Linked DNA regions of Xenopus tropicalis. The protein of the gene in region 2 purifies or fractionates together with the protein of the main gene of each other region. This does not show direct contact. Links are inferred from orthologs where the notes say so. Each region holds a gene or a part of one and is shown on either strand. Other genes may lie near its edges.

Region 1 (3,572 bases), on a different chromosome or scaffold from region 2:
ACAGCAAGGAGCTAGCTGTCCTAATACTGCTTACGTTCAGCCTAGTATAGGAAATTGTATTTGAGATATATGTATGGACCTGTTTAAGCAGAATGCTTGGGACCTGGAGTTTTCCAGATAGGGTTTCTATTCATAATTAACTACTAAAAAAAACACTGAAATTGAAATAAACCCAGCAGAATAGTTTTGCCTCCAATATGGATTAATTAATATAGATTAGTTGGGATCAAATACAAGGTACTTTTTTTTTATGGCAAAGAAAAGTTGTGTTTTTAAAATTTTGGATTATTTAATTAAAATGGAGTCTCTGGGAGTTGGACTCAGAGCTCTCTGGATAACAGGTTTCCAGTGATAAGGAATACATTCTGTGTGTGGAAGGATTCTGTTCTCAAGATAGCCTAGTTACATCAATTATAGCCTTGAAGACAAAACCACCTATTTGGCAAAGACCTTGTTTTCTGTGCTGTGAACAGATTTTTCTATGGGCGTATACTGGTAAACTGGTAACACCTATGCTCATAACGTGTCTTATGACATATGCTACTGTTACAAAGTCTGTATAAACCCTGGGCTGTTTTTGTTCTGTAGTTCTTTTGCTCAGAACCGATGTATGAGTCTAAAAAATCTTACCTAATTATTGCAATGAGATGCTCTGCCATCTGTTGTAAAGGCTCCTCTAACATAATTTTATTGCATAACCTCATACTTTTTCCAGATATGAATGTCTCCATCGGTGGAAAAGAGAATGAATGCTTAATCCCTTTGCACTCTCTGTAAATGTGGTGTAAAATCTCACATGCATGCAGTAATTGCTAGCTGTAATATTGTGGGACAAACCAATGAAGAGAACCCTGTTTATGTTATATGTTAATTTATTTTTCATTTAACTTGTGATTTTGCTTAAAAAGTTAACAGAAACTCATGTTTTGTCTTTGAGCAGCTTTAAAAGTATAGTGGATTTAAAGAATGCAGACAATGGTTCTGCTGGGTCAGAACTCAACTCGTTCGCTCAGCAAGATTCTGCTACTTCCAGAAGAGCCTCGGCAGCAAAACAACATTACTTAAAGCACTCCCGCTATTTGCCTGGTCAGTGTATAATCATCTTTACCATATTTTATAAAATTGTTTAAAATATTAAATAAGGCAGTGTGGTTTTTTTTTTAAGTTTGCTTTCCTTGTCCAGTCTGTTCTATTAGTAGGGAGCAGGCAAGTGCTGAACGCAGGTGAATAGGAACTAGATGAGTCTGAACGCAGAAAATAATGTCCATCTGTAAAAGGTCTAAATAACAAAGGTTCTTATCAATTTTCACAGAAAACAAACCAGCAGTTTACTGCCCTTTATGTTATGCTTTCTAGGTTTTCTGTCTGTGTCTGTTCATGTTGATGTTTATTCATGTTTATTCTTGATCTACAAAAGACAAATCCAGTGAAAAGGTTACTGCTGGTTTCTGGTGACAATTGGTGTCCCTTGAATTTGCAGGTCTTACTATCAACAACAGTGCAGGCAAATCCTCAAGCAGTGATTCTACAAATGTTTCAAATCCGTGGCCAATTCCTCTTCAGCCCATTAAGCCACTGGGCTTGGCATCTGAGACCAATAGCAGGCTTTCAGGTAGGGGTGAAATAGTACACTTTTAACGTTTTTACGAACACTAAACAGCTTCTTAGTAAATGTTAAACACTTTTGTGTTTATCTTGTATGTACCACAAAATTATTCATTTTGTCAGTACAACATCAAATATAGATTCTTTTTTTTTTTTTTTTTTTTTTATGTATTGTGCAATTGTGTTGTGTGAATCTATACATGAAATGTATTATCAACAATTTCTCACATGGCAGAAAAAAAACCCAACCAATGCTATAATACAGCAATTATAGGCATAATTAAACTATACGTCTCCAGTATGTTGTGTGCTTTTGTGTAACAGGTTTTATGTTTTCTTTTTTTTTTTTGTCTTCAAGGTCAGAAAGGAAGCAGTGACCCAGTTTCTAGTTATCTGCCAGCCTTTTTGAAAAAAGATATTGGCTATATTGGGCAGAAGGTGCAGTTAGCTCCACTTACAGATCCAACTCCCAGTGAGTAAACAGAAGTATATAAAGACACCACTGCAAAAATCTGAACTTATCTTTCTTTTCTGGTGCCTACCACATGCACGCACGCAATTCAAAAATAACTACCTGGTTTGGGGGCACTGAGAGCAACATCCACTGGGGAGCAACATGTTGCTGATAAGCCACTGGTTGGGGATCACTGATGTAGAGAGCGATATTCTGAGACAATTTGCAATTGGTCTTCATTTTTTATTTGTAGTTTTTTAATTATTTTTCCAACAGCTCTCCAGGTTGAAATTTTAGCTGTTATCTGGTTGCTAGCAAGTCCCTGGTTGCTAAGCTAATTGGGACCCTAAGGTAGAGTTGCAATGAGAGACAGGAATATGAATAGTAGAGGGGCTGAACAGAAAGATAAGTAATATAAGGTAACAATAACAATAAAATTGCAGCCTCACAGAGCAATAGTTTTTGGCTGCTTGGGTCATTGACCCCCATTTGAAAGCTGCAAAGAGTCAGAAGAAGACAAATAATTCAAAAACTGTACAAAATAAATAATGAAGTCCAAATGAAAAGTTGCTTAAAACTGGCCATTCTATATACGAAAAGTTAACTTAAAGGTGAACCACCCTTTAATCACTTGGGTTTCTTTCTCCTCCTCTAACCCACTCAGCCCCCCTCCCTTGGGAATTTACTTTGGCTGTTGGCTACTGGGCATGCTCACTTCCTAGCTAAAACAGTCAATCTCAGCTCAGATTACCAAACATTATTCTCTTCACTCTAGCCACCAGTGAAGAGATGGCATTGCTGGTTACCATAGAAAAACTATGCTTTAACTGTGCTCTTTTTTTGGTGGGGGGGATACATAGAGTATAAATGATACTGTTTGGGTGGCGCAGATGTGCCTGACTTATATACATGGTAGAAAAATTTAGAATTTACCTGAACTTTAAAAGCAGCTCAAACCACACTAAGATCTGCTGAACTTTGAAGGTATGGATTATTACTGTTACAGTGCTGTTGAACTACTCTGTGCCAGTACCTTAAGTTCATTATATAAAATGCAGCATTTCCTGCACTATTCATTATAGATTTTAGTTCCCCTTTAACTGTTCTTTCAGCAAGTAAGTGTTTATTGCAAACTAATTTACACAGCACTTCACTTTCCTTTTTTTTCTTCACTAATACATACAAACATGTAGCTGTATTCCAAGGGGTGCCACAACATCAAAATGTTCTAAGGGGCCTCCTTTCTCAAACATATTGTAATGTTATTGTGAATTATTTTTGCATTGGGTGTTAGTGTGCCTTTTTGTAGCTATATGAAATAGAGCCAATCTTTGTAAATCCCATTGCAAGAGAGTGTTAAATGTGAGCACTCACAGATGCATGTATTTTTCAGTACACTAATGTATGCATCCTGTCATCTTCCTGTCTAGATTATGGATCCCTGAGGTCTGTTGGATCATTTCTTGGTCCTCCTTCTTTTCGTTCACCTTCCAAAGGCACACAGAGGCTGACA
Region 2 (3,572 bases):
AGTTGGGTGCCATGGGTCCCTCCAGACCAGCACCCTCTGTCCTTTGTGTGCAAATTAGGCCACCCACAACCAGACCCTCCAGTGCCCTGGCCTGCTCCCAAATTCATCTTCATCTACCATCCTCACCTGTCCCATTCTGCACTAGACATTGCACTTTATATTCTATATAAACTATATATAGTTTTGAAGGATTTTAATTCTTTGTGTTTAAATAAATATTTAAAAACATATACCCCACTCATTTAATGTCATTTTATTGGTATTTATTTTGATTATTGAAACTTAGCAGTAGCTGCTGCATTTCCCACCCTAGGCTTATACTCGAGTCAATAAGTTTTTCTAGTTTTTTAGGTAAAATTAGGTACCTTGGCTTATATTCGGATCGGCTTATACTCGAGTATATACAGTAATTATCTCTTTCAATTTTATTGAAGCCTTAATTTATGCTAAATTGTTGGAATTAAGAATTAAACAACTCTAGTCCACACCGTCATTTCAACAATCAAATTAAAGTCCATACCAATTACATGAATTTCAGCTTTGTCTCGTAACTAACATTCCTTTAGGTCATCTTTTCTCCATTTTTTTTTACTTTTTTTCCTTAAAGTTAGATTGCCCTAATTATTTCATTTCCTGTTTGGCTGTTACCCCTCTCTTGCCCTTCTATTATTTCTTTTCACATCTTCCTTTCTTCCGTAAGCTGTTCATATAGTTAAAGGTCTGTGTACCACATATGTGGCAACTGTCAACACTATGAAACCAGTCTTACAGATCTGATTGCTGTCATACAACTGCACGACAAAATTTTAGATTAAGCTGGAACTTTTATACCAGTGAGTGAAAAGCAAATTGCTTGATGATGCCTGCATATAATAGTTGCACACATACAAAAGGATGGCTAATTGAAGAGGACATATATTTGGCAAGTGGAAGCTCACTTAGAGCAGCCCTGGGGTTTATATAAAAGAAAACTCTGCTGTTGTTGGTGAGCTTTGGTTCAGCAACAGCTCAGTCTGTATGATGTAACTAAGCACCAGTAAAATGCACTCTTCATTTAAACAAAAAAAACAAAAATAAACGCTAGTATATGAAAGCTCATTAGAGAGTACTTCTTTTTTTTTGCTTTGATCAATGCACTCTGGGTTAGTGTATTGTGACACTTGAACCTACAGGGGGATCTGCTTCAGTGTCTTAGGGCCGCTTCCCACAGTCTTTTAGGGTAAACATAGCAGTCACGGAGGTTGCTCTCTTACAGGCAAGTGCCAGCAGTTTATTTTGTTACAAAACTTCAGTAACAAACACAAAATAAGAAACAAGACAATAAACCATTGCACCAGAGAGCTGGCTAAACACAGTTGGCAGCCTAACTACAGTTGGGTGGCTTTTCCCACTCCAACTTAACAAAAGAAAACAAAATCAGAAATCATCAGTACCTTTCCCATGCAGCGCAGCTCCTGCTACCTGTGTAGTGGGAAAGAGACTCCCCCTCCCCACACTGGAGTCTTTTTAAAAGGCTCTCAGCTGCAGCAATCACCTTGCTGCTAAGGTCTGTATTAAAGGTTTGTGATTAATTATTCCATGTTCCAGGGTACCCACTATGCAAAACCCTGGGAGAAACATATCGTCCATCAACAACTAACCCAGCCATTTTATTACAGTATCCAAAGTCCAAGAGGATCTTGGCATCTTCTTCAGGATAATTAAATAAATTACTATATTACTATGATACAAAATGCTAATATCTGTATAGTGTCATTGTCACTTTTTTTTTTTTTTTTTACTCTTGCTCATCGCCTAGAACTTTAGGTGTTGCACTTGGATATTATAGGGGATATTTATCAAAGGTAGAAAGTACAATTCGCTAGAGGATATATAAATGTATGGGAAACAGTGGATTATCAATTAGATTTGAAATGTCACCAACAAGTTAGAAAAGCAAAGATCTGATTGGTTGCTATGGGCAACATCACTGGTAATGTTGGCTTACACACTATAATAAATATGCCCCAAGATGTAGAATTTCTGGAAATGGAGATTGAGAACTTTGGACTAGTTATTTGAAGTACAAAAGAAGAAAATTCTGGTAGAGACAGATTGTCAGAAAATGTGTGGATTATCCTCAGATTTGTTTTTGGAGGTTAAAAATATCTAAAACCTTATTAAGTGGCAGTCCCATACCTGCTGCAATTGGTTCCTTGTTTTTTTTTATTTAGAAATCTCTGTGTTCAAGAGTGACCATGGGATTGCTAGTGCTTGTATTTAACTCAAAACTTTTAGCATAAGAGAGTGTGTTTTTTTCACTACTCTAGTGAATCTTGCATAATTAGGACATCTCTGAAATAGAAATATACAAAGGAATTTTATTTAAAACCTTAAAGAAATTTTCAGTAGTCACTCAAAAGACTTTTTTCCGCAAATATTAAATCATTTGCTGCAATACTTTAAAAAACAGTTTATTAGCTCCTTCCTATGATCAATAGTGTCTAGTATGGCGAATTTAGAATTATTCAGTAGCTTACAAGTTGTACAGTGTTTTTTTTACTTTTTGTATATATATAAGATATTCTTTTTTTTTGTAGTTTTTGCAGTTTTTAGCTAAAATGTGTTGTCAAATTCCTACAATTATCATATGTGCCCTGACAACTGGTTGCTCAGAGATAAATTGTATTTTGATCTTGGCTATTAAAGCAAGTCCCTTTTAACTATTAAATATATTTATAGTATTGCAGGTTACATGTCTATCTTTGGCTAATTCACGTGAATTTTTGACTAATTTGGCCATACAGGTGGTGGGCCCAATTGGACTGTTTTGTCCAGTTGTTTTACCCCCCCCCCCCACCGACCAGAGATTGCATAAATAACATAGGTTATGGTTAAAACCTGTGCAAAATGGTTTGGAGATGACTTAGCATCAACAGCCATATGCTGCCCTTAACTGATGCCATTTTACAGTCTTGCCAAGTAAAAAATCCTTATCCAACTCCTGTCATAGTTTTTGCTGTATACAAGGGGGAGCAAGTTGCTAACTTTGCCAAGAGTAGCCAGGTTGGCAGCCTTAATATGGACAAGGTAAGAAATCATATATGTTTTCTTGAAATAGATCATTCATATTGGGCATTGTTCCATCCACAAGTGAACTGTAGTAGTAAACAATGATTTTTCTTTATCCAATTATAGGGTAAGATTGTACATCTTACACTAGATGGACATACTATTTCTCCGCCAGAAGGGTTTCTTATCCGTAAAGGACCTGGCAACTGCCATTTTGACTTTGCTCAAGAGATTCTGTTTGTTGACTACATACATGAGAAACAAATAACAGACACACAATTAAGGTAACAGTATAAATTATCATTGTTTTCTTATGGACTCTATATTAGTGTGTGGAATGAGTGTGCCTCATTAAAGGAATACTGTCATGGGAAAACATGTGTTTCTCAAAAGGCATCAGTTAATATAGCTTTTCCAGCACAATCCTGCATTGAAATCCATTTTTCAAGCCAAACAGATTTTTTTTTTATATTTAATTTTGACATTTTTATTTCCCAGGTTGCCACAGCCATGTGACTTGT

What was found. The genes of interacting proteins can lie anywhere in the genome.
Region 1: the proteins of kiaa0556 (region 2) and cilk1 purify together in Homo sapiens (affinity purification with mass spectrometry; 3 studies listed by BioGRID and IntAct, with this or other methods). This does not show direct contact. The link is inferred for Xenopus tropicalis from reciprocal best matches to the Homo sapiens genes KATNIP and CILK1.

The regions. Positions count from the first base shown.
Region 1 is NC_030681.2:96,867,744-96,871,315, forward strand, and holds part of cilk1 (serine/threonine-protein kinase ICK), read left to right. Parts: intron 1-940; coding exon 941-1,086; intron 1,087-1,480; coding exon 1,481-1,612; intron 1,613-1,963; coding exon 1,964-2,077; intron 2,078-3,489; coding exon 3,490-3,572.
Region 2 is NC_030685.2:40,175,322-40,178,893, reverse strand, and holds part of kiaa0556 (protein KIAA0556 homolog), read left to right. Parts: intron 1-3,177; coding exon 3,178-3,335; intron 3,336-3,572. UniProt on the Homo sapiens protein: May influence the stability of microtubules (MT), possibly through interaction with the MT-severing katanin complex.